Callithrix jacchus: one gene and its partners. The protein of the gene in region 2 purifies or fractionates together with the protein of the main gene of each other region. This does not show direct contact. Links are inferred from orthologs where the notes say so. Each region holds a gene or a part of one and is shown on either strand. Other genes may lie near its edges. The genes, in order: ENDOD1, TMEM43 and BZW2.

Region 1 (4,173 bases), on a different chromosome or scaffold from region 2:
GGGCCATAGTACCCTGAATAATATGACCCTTACCTCCTTCTTTTTTTTTTGAGACGGAGTTTCGCTCTTGTTACCCAGGCTGGAGTGCAATGGTGCGATCTCGGCTCACCGCAACCTCCGCCTCCTGGGTTCAGGCAATTCTCCTGCCTCAGCCTCCTGAGTAGCTGGGATTACAGGCACGCGCCACCATGCCCAGCTAATTTTTTGTATTTTTAGTAGAGACGGGGTTTCACCATGTTGACCAGGATGGTCTCGATCTCTTGACCTCGTGATCCACCCGCCTCGGCCTCCCAAAGTGCTGGGATTACAGGCTTGAGCCACCACGCCCGGCCCCCTTACCTCCTTCTTCAGCCCCACTTCCCATCATCCCCCATGCAGTTATCCATCCTTTGCCTACACTAGCCTTCCTTAAATTCCTCCAATGCATCATGTTCCCTTCCGTGAGAGACCACTGAGCACATGGTTCTCCTCCTTGCCTAGTTAATGTCATCCTCCAGGTCTCAGCTCAGATGCCACTTCTTCAGGCAAACTTTCCCAGATTACATCCCGAACCCCTGTAGCCATCAGGGTCTCACAGATCTGTGTTCAGTTTTTAGTTATCCCTTTAATAGCATGCTTCCTCGGTTAATGACAAGCTTTCCGACTAGGCTGTCTTTGTGACCGCAGGGGCCCTGTTCTTGTTTACCCTGTGGTAATCCAGTGCCTATCTCAGGGTGGCACCTAGGCATTCAGAGGGATAAATGAAGGAAAGAACTGGCTAACCTATCCACCAATGACATTGGCTGACCTCCTTCCTTGCTTGGCATCGGTTTGGTTTCTAAGCCTTGCACCTAGAAACCACAGTAGGGTTGTACTGTCTGCCTAGTTTAGGGACTTCCTTTCACAGGATTCCTTGAGTCTCCGAGTTTCTGATGAGCTAAAAAACAAAACGAAACAAAAACCTGCATCAAAATTGTATGCCTGTGCTGGCGGTTGAGCACTTCGGTGGAGCGGGGGAGACGGTATTCATGAGATTACAGAGGGGAACTCTGCCGGTTCACTCCGAACAGCCGCAGCTCCGGGAACATCTCACGCCGCCCCTCTGCATCCCCAGGACGGCCGTGGGGCGCACACCATCAGCAGGCTTCTTGGCGCCCAGTCCAGGCGACTGTCCCTTCCCAGCCCCTTGGACAAGGCCCGCCCCACTCGGATTCTCCATTCTTAGCAGCTCACGTCCCCGCTGACTGCTGAGACCAGGCGGCGCAGCGGCAGGTGACCGCGTCTCCAGTCCCGGGCGCAGCCCAAGGGAGGTTATCAGCACCGCAGAGCCGGGCCCCGGCCTCTGCAGCCATCTTCGGCGAGGTAGGCGCGGCCTCCAGACGCGGACCCGCCCCCGCCGCCCGGGCCGCCCCCCTGGCTCCGCCGAGCGCCGCGCCTGGGTTCCTACTTCCCTTCCCTACCCGGCCCGGCTGCGTCGCGCTCCGCGCCCAGTTCGCAGAGCTCCAGCCGCTCTGCCCTGCCGCGCTCGCAGAGGCCGCCATGGGCACCGAGCGCTGGCTTGCGCTGGGCAGCCTCCTCGCCCTGGCCGGGCTGCTGGAAGGCCGGCTGGTAGGCGAGGAGGAGGCCGGCTTTGGCGAATGTGACAAGTTCTTCTACGCCGGGACCCCTCCTGCGGGTCTGGCAACAGATTCCCACGTGAAGATCTGTCAGCGCGCGGAGGGCGCTGAGCGCTTCGCCACCCTCTACAGCACCCGGGACCGCATCCCAGTGTACTCCGCGTTCCGCGCCCCGCGCCCGGCGCCCGGCGGCGCCGAGCAGCGTTGGCTGGTGGAGCCGCAGGTAAGCTAAGCGGTTCCCTAGCCGGGCTGCGCGCGTTGGGGGCCGTGCCGCTGGACTTGCCCCCAGGGGCGCTTTGCAGCCACCCGGAGGGGCCGGGCCGGGAACAGCAATCCCCACGCCTTCTGTGCCTTGGGCCAAGAAACCCGGGTTCCAGACCCACCCCGTTGCGCCCCCGAAGTTTAGCCGGCCTCGCCCCCTGTGGAGGCTGCAATAAGAGCCTGGCTATCCGCGAGTCATCACTTCACTTCAAGAGCTGCAGGGGCGGGAGGTCCCCTGTTGGAGGAGGTTCTCCCTGCATTTCTGCGCAGACATCTGCAGTGTTTCATTCGTTTCCTGAATTTGTGAAGGGTGAGACAGAGACCCTGGAGACGGTTTAGATCCGCAGAAAGCCTTGGCTGGGCGCTCCCAGGCCTTCGTGCAAGTCATTGCCATAGCACTCATTTGGAGGTGGGGAGGTGGGTATTTTCATCCCCATTTTACAGCAGAGGAGATTACAACCCAGGGGGATGAAGAGACATGCGGAAGACCACCCAGCTAGTAAGATGGTGCAGGTCTTTTGGCTAGGAATTCACTAGCCCTTTCTACTAAGGAAAACTTCCCTTTGCAGAGCTCATCTCCTGGCCTGAAAATCCTTCCTTCTACACGTGGCATTGAGTAAATTCTATCTGTGGTTGTGCTGAGTTAGACAATAAAATAGAGGTATAGATTTTTAGAAACGCAGTGGGATAGTTACACACGATAGGGAAGCATTGACTACCTCCAACTGATGGAAAGACAAGCCAGTTTTTCCTGACTCTTCATATCTATATTATCAGACCACTAGGAAATCATGTCGCCTCCCATGGTGTTGTGTCCCATCTGGTAAAGGTAACCAAACACTGGAGAAGCCCTCAGAGGCTGCCGAACCTGCTGGCCTGCTCTTAACACATCCTGGCTCACCTCTGCTCACTTGGCCTCCTCTCTAGAACACCCTGCCAGGCTCCCCTTTACCCTCTCACCAGCTTCCCACCCCTGCTCAGGCTGCCAGGGGAGGAGCTGACCCAACTGTCTTCCTTTCCTGATGGCCACAGCTGCCCAGGACCACACCCATGGACAGGAGGCTGGCTTTCAGGTGCTTTATTCAGAGGCTGCGGGTTTTTACTTCATTCAGCTATTTCTAGCTCTGAGGTCTCCACCAGTTCTCAAACAATCTGCACCTAGTTTTCTTATCTTCCTCACATCCTTCCACCTACCTCAGCTGTTGATAACACCTGTTGAGATCAGGCATGTGAAAAAGACTTTGTCAATTGCACACACAAGACACATTTAAATCCAAAATTAGTTTTCCTTCAGCTGCACCTCTAGAGCTCAACTCACATCTCATCTTGCTTTGTGATTGTGTGCCTATGAAGAAAACAAATGACCTAGTCCTTTCTCCTTGATCTCATGGACAGTTCAGGGAGACCGAATATATGTCTGAGGAAATCCTGGGAATGCAAGCTAAATGAATTTCAGCTAAATTCAGAACACATTTAGTGATCTCTTGCTGTATGCCAGACATTTGGGATATCAAGAGATCTGAGTGCAGTTCTAGGACAAAGGCTTCCTGGTCTGCAGGTGGAGTTTGCTTGGTGGAGAGGTGGCATAGTATTTGATTAGAGCTATGCTATGTGGGTTCAAATCCCAGTTGCTCCACTGACTAGCTATGAACTTGGGCAGGTTAAATTGGAGATAATAGCAGAGGGTGGTGTGAGGATTTAATGAGTTACCATATGTAAAGTTCTCAGAGAGGCGTGTGACACAGGAGTATTAGCTGTTGCTATGACATAAACAAAAAAACCCCATAATTTAATAAAAGGGTAGCAAAGTCCTATTAGATTTAATCTGTCTTTGAGGTGATGGAAGCAAGCCTTAGGGTCAGGTTGACATTTGTGCTGTGCCTGGAAAGATAAGGACAGAAGGGAGGTAAGAAGGGAGACAAGGAGGAGGACATTTCAAGCAGAGGGAACACCATGAGTGAGAAAGGCATGGCAGATTCAGGGATTTATGCATGGAGAAGTTGGAACAGGTAAACTAATACAAATAAATTAATGTGTTCAAGTGCTCAGAATAAAGAGGAATCATGGAAGGGAGGGATCAGCTAGGGAGGAGTGACCAAGGAAGGCTTAGGGAGGCAGAGCCATTTATGCATCTAGGGAAGGAGTGAGTCATAAAGGAGTGTAGTTTGACAGAAAGAAGTGGAGGGAACCTGGTGACATGGGAACCTGGGTGGGATAATGAGGAAGGGGACTGTGGAGATTAAAGAAGATGGGAAGGGTGGGTGGAAATAGTTACAAATGGCAGCTTGAGAGGTAAGATGTACAGCAGTTCTGAAAA
Region 2 (3,648 bases):
AAATCTGTTAACATTCCCACTAGCTAACACGTGTATAGTGCTTTCCATGCCGTAGGCCCTGAGCCACCCAATAACTATGTTCTTTGGTTCTCACCACAACCCTATGCACCAAGGAAATGGAAGCCACAAAGGGGTGAAATTACTTGCCCAAGACCCCATAGTTGGTATGTGGCAGAGCCTAGATTCAAACCCAGTCCTTCTGGCTCCAGAATCCTTCCCTATGCGATGACACTTTTGATCAGCAGTGGATACACCCCAGATCATGTCTCTGTAATTGGCCAGACAAAGCCTGATCCACTCACCCTTGAGCTTGAGGCCCGCTGTGAACCTGTGCAGAAATGCCAGGCTCTGCCTTTCTTCCCCCATCCCTCCCACAATCCAAGTAAAGCAGATAGGCAGCTGCTCCCTGAGAACCACTTCCGAGTTCCTCATCACTGCTGACACGGTACTCCCCTTTAGGGATGCACTTCCCCTAGAGTCTGCCTCTAAGATGCCACCACTCAAATGCTCCCTCCTCTAGGGAGCCTGTCTTGATACCCCAGCTGGAAGAGGTCTCTCCTTGAGCACCAAGTCCACCCCTCTCACCACACACGCTGCATGACCTCCTAATATTGTTTATGGTTGTGACCTTACTGCCCTAAGACTGTCTACTTCTCTTCTGACCCCACAAGGGCTAGCATTGCCCTCAGAAATCTCAGCCACTGCTTGCTGAATTTCATTAAAAATACATCTCTAATAACCTCTTTGTAAAACAGCTTGGCAGTTTCTTAAAAAGTTAAACATACATATTCTCTGTGAATCAGCAATTCCACTCCTAGGTATATACCTTTGGGAAATGAAAGCACAGGTCTACACAAAGGTTCATATATGAATGTTCACAGCAGCATTATTCATAATAGCCAAAACCTGGAAGCTGCCAAGATACCCATCCCCTGATGAATGATTCAGCACATTGTGGTATAGTCATAAGTGGAATACTACTGAGCCATGAAAAGGAACAAAATCCTGATAAACATCACAACGTGGATGAATTACAAAAGCAGTGCTCTGAGTCCAAGAAGCTGGGCAGAAAGGAGTTTGTGTTCTGATTCCATTTTTCTCAAGTTCTAGAAGAAACAAAGCTAATCTACAGTGGGAAAAATTCAAATTCAAATTCTCCCCCTCCCCACCAGTTACCACCTGTGGTTGGTGGAGAGGGGGAGAATTGGCAGGAAAGGGGCACAAAGAAACTTTCTGGGGTGATGGAAATGTTTTGTACCTTGCTTTAGATGTTGGTCAGATGGAATATATGTTTGTGGAAACCCACCAAAGTGGACATTAAATATCTGTGTATTTTACCAATTACAGTTAAAATTGGAAAAAAAAACCCGAGTATAAATAAATAGCAAATTTCATTTATTTTTAAAAAAACTAATTTCATTCTGTGAATATGTTACTTTTTCTTCAGTATTCCAGTATGAGCACCCGGAGAGAACATGTCAAAGTTACAACCGGCTCCCAGCCAGGCTTCCTGGAACGGCTGAGCGAGACCTCGGGTGGGATGTTCGTGGGGCTCATGACCTTCCTGCTCTCCTTCTACCTAATTTTCACCAATGAGGTTAGCACCTCCCTCAGTCACAGTTGGATCCAAGTGTTCATGCTGGGTCACCAGGAAATCTCCATTTCTTCATGTCTTGCCTGTTTTTCTCTATTGTGGTGTTTTTATTGGGCAGGTACTTCCTCTGTGATGGCAAATGTGGCCCCAGAAACTGGCTTACATCCAACCACTTAGCCCAGGGAAGAGAGAAACCTTTCTTTTTTCCTTCCTTTATTCCTTTCTTTTTTCCCTCCCTCCCTGCCTGTTTCTTCCCTCCTTCCCTCCCTCCCTCCCTTCTTTTTTTCTTTCTTTTCTCTTTCTCTCTTCCTTCCTCCTTCCCTCTCTCCCTTTCTTTTTCTGTTTCTTTCAAAAATAGGACCTCATGATGCAATAGTATATTTCTAAATCATTTTAGCAACAGTTACAGGGCCTCAGTGTCCTGGCTTGGCTCTCAGTCCTCTGAACCAATCTCCCTGGCCAGGCATGACTCACATGTTCTGATTGGCAAGGCCTGGGTCACATGATTTGAACAGGGGTTCAGATAGACCTAGGTAAACCACATGGGCTGAAAGTAGGGAAGGAGTGCCAAGTGTGTTGGCTCAGGCCTATAACCCCAGGACTTTGGGAGGCCAAGGAGGGTGGACTGCATGAGGCTAGAAGTTTGAAAGCAGCCTGGGCAACATAGCAAGACTCTTCTCTACAAAAGGCAGATAAAAATGGGGAGAAAGGTACAAGGCAGGCAGAAACACCAGCTATTCCCACCATTGAGGTGGTGCTAAGATTGGCAGGGGCTGGTGGGAACCAGTGGGGGAGTAGGAAGAAGTCTGCCTGGGAAAGCAGGAATCTGGGTTCTAGTCCTTACTCTCCACTTGCTAGACCTCAGTTTTCCAGCTGTACAGTGGGGAGATGGGTCTCAGTGCTCCCCGAGTCCCCATCCTACCCTGATACTTTGCAACAAGCACAGTCAGGCTGAGCCACCTGAGTTGTTGCAACCCCCACCCCCTTTGCTTCCAGGGCCGCGCACTGAAGACGGCATCCTCGCTGGCTGAGGGGCTCTCGCTTGTGGTGTCCCCTGACAGCATCCACACTGTGGTTCCAGAGAATGAAGGAAGGCTGGTGCACATCATCGGTGCCCTGCGGACATCCAAGGTAGGCTTGGCAGGGATGCTGACCCGCCAGTGGCTCGGGGCTCATCCTGGGTGTTGTCTGGCTGAGGATTTGAAAACATGGGCCTTGGAGATGGTCACACATGGGTGTGATTCCTGCCTCCACCGCTCAGCAGCTGTGTGGACCTGTCAATCCTGAGTCTCAGTGTCTCTATATATAAAATGGGAACGGTAATGATAACAAGCTTGTGGCCAGCCTTGAGGATTTGGTGAGATTAGGTAACTAACATCTTGGTACAGTGGCTGGCACTCAGGGAGGTGCTCTCATGATTGTGATGACCATGTATGTCCATTGCAAGGTCACAGAACTATCTTGGGCACCAGCGCTTTCCTGTTATTTGAACACCCAGAATGCTGTTGGCACCATACCACTGGACCGTGCAGCCCAGGTCCATGCTGTGAGGGTCACAGTCACAGGCAGTACATGTGAAGAACATGGGACGGGGAGCATCCTTGATCCTTCCCTGTGAAGCAGAATAGGGCTCTCCACCCTCATCCCCCTTCTCTAGTTCTTCCACTTCCAGTCCAGTTTCCCCTGAGCCAGGCTTTCTGGGCTGACATGAATCTTATCCTTTATTTTTTTGGTTTCTCTGATTCTGTGTGAAGCTTTTGTCTGATCCAAACTATGGGGTCCATCTTCCGGCTGTGAAACTGCGGAGGCACGTGGAGATGTACCAGTGGGTAGAAACTGAGGAGTCCAGGTGAGGTGCCAGGGGGTGGAAACTGTTGGGGTAAAGGAGGAGTAAGGTGTAGGTGTCAGGATAAAATGCAGATGACTTTCATTGTGATGCCTTTGAAATTCAAGTATAACGTCTTCCTATCAGAAAAGTGTGAAATTATCCTAAAATGAATGGCTAGTGATTTGGAAGTGGCAAAAATCCAGTGAATTGTGGATCCATGAGGAAA
Region 3 (3,648 bases), on a different chromosome or scaffold from region 2:
ACCTTAGTGTTCTGAAAAAGTAAAATATGACCTAAATACTTATGAACAAGATTCATTCATTTGAAGAATCTATATAGTCAATTAAAATTCATTGTGAAATGCTATTCAACATTTTTAAAAGAGCTATTACTTATGTAAAACCTTTATTTTCCAAATTTCCAAGATATCATTCAAAATAGATAAATTTAGGAACACATCAAAAAGAAAAGAAACATTTGGCTGGTATTAATTTAACTTTTCTGACATCATGATGCTTATGAATATAATAACAAAATAAGCATGTTATAATGTTCAAAATGTATAATTAAGTGTTCCTTTTTCTCCCTCACGAAACGACATAAATTTACGCCTAAAAAATAGCCTAGGACATTTTTGTATGCTGTAGGTATACAGATTGAGATCAGTTAAAACCTTTAGCATTCATTTTTTAGTGCCAGTTGTCATGGTAACCTAATCCTTATAAATACAATGAAAAGACAGTAAATGTGGAAACCTAAAAATAGCCATTCCCTTGGAAAATAGGAGAATGGCTGGGCCAAGTAACTAAAATCCAAAGTAAAAAGTCTAATTATTTCAGTAATTTTAAAGTCAGTTTTATGGTGCCTAAAAGCATGTCAACATAATATATATAGCATTTTGATAATCATTGTTATTAGAGCTAATCCTTGCAATTCAAAAACAGGCTCAATTTTACATAACTGCATTTTTTTCCCACTATCCCTAAGAAACAATAATCACTAGTTCATCTACCAATGAGAAGGGCCCAGGGGCCTAAGCAGGATTTCCGAGGCAACGCATATATGGCGTGTGTGCCTCCTCTCTCTCCGTGGTAACGTTGCCTCAATAAAACTTCCACAAATTAGCATCTTGCTGTTCCTCTCTAAACAGAGCCCAGTGACCTCCTCTGCCTCATCCCCTGCTCTGCCCCTCAAAGAGCTTCAGCAAAACACAGAAGCACAGCAGTGGCACGTGGATGAATACCTTTGTAAAAGAGAACCACGATCTTCTGAAAGGCTTTCATGAAATGGATGTTGTCGTAGCAGTATTCCTGAACTTTCTGGAGGAGGATCAACTCTGACTGGCCTTGGGAGCTGAACACAGCCAGCAGGGGAGCATATTGCTAGAACAGAAGTAGAAAGTAAAAGCCATTACTTACATGGGAGGTACAGGGCCTACACTGCTGAAACCATAACAATAACCTGGAGGGTTGCTTAGAAAAGATTCACTTTCAGGATTAGTACCTTCTTATCATCATATTGTGCCCAATGGGGTGAGGGGAACAGAACAGTAAGAACAAAGCAGTATGGTGGACCTGTGAGGGCCCTGGGAAGAAGATTCACACTCTTTCAACGGCAGAGCCACAGTCCATTAATGCAATGGAAGTATATCAGGATATGATCTCATTTTCACAATATCCCTTAGACAGAGTAGGCACAGCAATTATCTTTAACACAGGCAGATTCTCTTATTTGGTCTCTTAGAGGGTACAGGGAAAGAATCTTGATGAGCTGCCAGGATAAAAAGCATTCATTTAGAAATGCCCTTGACTTTCTGACATTGATGCACAGCCATTGTTTTTTCTGAGACTTACTCAGTTCAACACTTATCTCCTCCAAAGGGCCTTCCCTGATCAAAGTAACATGCACAGTTTACTCACTGCTATGTTCTCATGAACGCTGAGTGCAACCTTGAAAAATAATGGGAAGTATATGTTTAGCCTGAGTCTGAGGTAATTGTAGTTGGAACCCATTTGTCTTAATTAAGACAAATGTGGGCCAGGTGTGGTGGCTCACACCTGTAATCCCAACACTTTGGGAGGCTGAGGCAGAAGGATCACTTGAATCCAGGAATTCCACTTGAATCCAGGAGTTCAAGACCAGCCTGGGCAACACACTGAGCAAACATCTCTACCAAAAAATGAAGAAATTAGCCAGGTATGGTGGCAGGCACCTGTAATCGCAGATGCCTGGGAGGCTGAAGAGGGAAGATGGTTTAAGCTCAGGAGTTCAAAGATGAAGTGAGCCCAGGTCGTGCCACTGCACTCCAGCTGAGGCAACAGAGTGAGACTGTCTCAAAAAAAAAAAAAAAAAAAAAAAAAAGCCGCAGTTTGCCCTCAGCTGGGTCAGTTCCTTGCTAAGAGATGTTACCTTTAGGTGCTTCAGAGCCTGCTCTGCAACAAGTTCTTCCTTCTTGTTCCACTCAACAGCATTCATTATACAGGTCCACAGAAGACCAATCACAGCTGTTTCTGGAAGATCATTCCTCTTCATTTCTTCTTTAACATAAAGCACCACCTACATTTCACGGAAATGGGGTCAGAAAGTATCAGACAGATGGAGAGCTCCCAGCTCCCACCTAGCTGCCCAGTCAATCAAGGCTTTGTGGCAGCTGAGAAACAATCTGCTTCGTTTCTCCTTTCCTTGTCTGCATTCTCAGACTAGAAGAGGGAGAAAAAAATTTAATAATTTGTTCTCAAAGCAGATTTATTTTTAGCCCCAAAATTAATAGGCTTAGCTCTGGCCAGGAGCTGCTGGAGAGGATTTTTGTTTCCTCATAGAGAAACCCCTTTGAGTCTAGTAGAGTAAAGATACTTGAGCCAGTTTGACTTTTTTGAGATTTAAAGAAGGCAATAGAGTTGTGAACTTTTATCTCCATCCCTAAACTTTAAAACCTCTTGATAGATACCATCTTGGGTTTGTACAAGTCCATTCTCCAAAATTTATTCTTCAATGATTACTTTTGATGATCCTTATGCCCCATCGCAATGAAAAGTTATTTTGTGAATTAATTTTAAAGTGCAAGGTCAATTTTTTAATTTCATATATAACAATTCAGCAATATTTATGTCTCCAGTATACTACTTTGTGAGTAGTGGTAAACCTTTTTTTCCTCCCTTTTCTTTTTCAGTGGAAACACAATGCTTTCTTTACTTCTGGCCTGGAGTGCAGAAATGACAGCAGTGACTTGAGTAGCCTTCAAAAGCAGAAAGAGCTGGGCAGTCACAGTTCCTGCGTTGGCTGGAGGAAGCCACATAAAAGTGTGACATCAGGGCATCTACGAGCATCACAAGGCTTTTTGTTTTTGCTTTTTTTTCCTCATGGAAAGTAATGTGCAAGTTCTTGCTTGGAGAAATATGATTGAATATACTGCTAACCTTAATACCATGAGACATAAGAATATTTGTTATTCCAACACCCCCACCTGCTGGATACTATCAGTCCCACATTCTCCAGCCTTCAACCATGTGAGATGCCACGCAGGGCTTGGAGCATGGAAGAAGGTGGAGTGGGTCAGGCATTTTGGAGCAAGTGGAAAAAAAGAAAGGATTGTATATATTAATTTTTAACTGTTGTGTTAAAGATTGTAAAACTTCAAACAGAAAGCTTTCTCCAGGTACATTAAAAATTTAAAAAGATAATAGTCATAGCTTTCTGAACTATACTATGTAGCATGTGTATACTATAGTTATATGTATTATAAAAATACATGTATAACTGTGCATACATGTATTTTTGTATATGCATATTATAAAAAAACAGAGCTTTTACATTATAGGGAAACACTGCTATTGCGAGTGTCAGTGGGATTAAACAAGTCACTTATCCAACTATTCTTTTCCCATGATGTGAATTCAAACTTTCCCTTTCC

What was found.
Region 1: the proteins of TMEM43 (region 2) and ENDOD1 purify together in Homo sapiens (affinity purification with mass spectrometry; 3 studies listed by BioGRID and IntAct, with this or other methods). This does not show direct contact. The link is inferred for Callithrix jacchus from reciprocal best matches to the Homo sapiens genes TMEM43 and ENDOD1.
Region 3: the proteins of TMEM43 (region 2) and BZW2 purify together in Homo sapiens (affinity purification with mass spectrometry; 3 studies listed by BioGRID and IntAct, counting the BioPlex papers as one, with this or other methods). This does not show direct contact. The link is inferred for Callithrix jacchus from reciprocal best matches to the Homo sapiens genes TMEM43 and BZW2.

The regions. Positions count from the first base shown.
Region 1 is NC_133511.1:45,196,849-45,201,021, reverse strand, and holds the start of ENDOD1 (endonuclease domain-containing 1 protein), read left to right. Parts: upstream 1-1,228; 5' UTR 1,229-1,518; coding exon 1,519-1,818; intron 1,819-4,173. UniProt on the Homo sapiens protein: May act as a DNase and a RNase. Plays a role in the modulation of innate immune signaling through the cGAS-STING pathway by interacting with RNF26.
Region 2 is NC_133516.1:71,100,733-71,104,380, forward strand, and holds part of TMEM43 (transmembrane protein 43), read left to right. Parts: intron 1-1,447; 5' UTR 1,448-1,456; coding exon 1,457-1,597; intron 1,598-2,590; coding exon 2,591-2,725; intron 2,726-3,348; coding exon 3,349-3,443; intron 3,444-3,648. UniProt on the Homo sapiens protein: May have an important role in maintaining nuclear envelope structure by organizing protein complexes at the inner nuclear membrane. Required for retaining emerin at the inner nuclear membrane.
Region 3 is NC_133512.1:41,754,027-41,757,674, forward strand, and holds part of BZW2 (eIF5-mimic protein 1), read right to left. Parts: intron 2,295-3,648; coding exon 2,148-2,294; intron 1,121-2,147; coding exon 982-1,120; intron 1-981. UniProt on the Homo sapiens protein: Translation initiation regulator which represses non-AUG initiated translation and repeat-associated non-AUG (RAN) initiated translation by acting as a competitive inhibitor of eukaryotic translation initiation factor 5 (EIF5) function.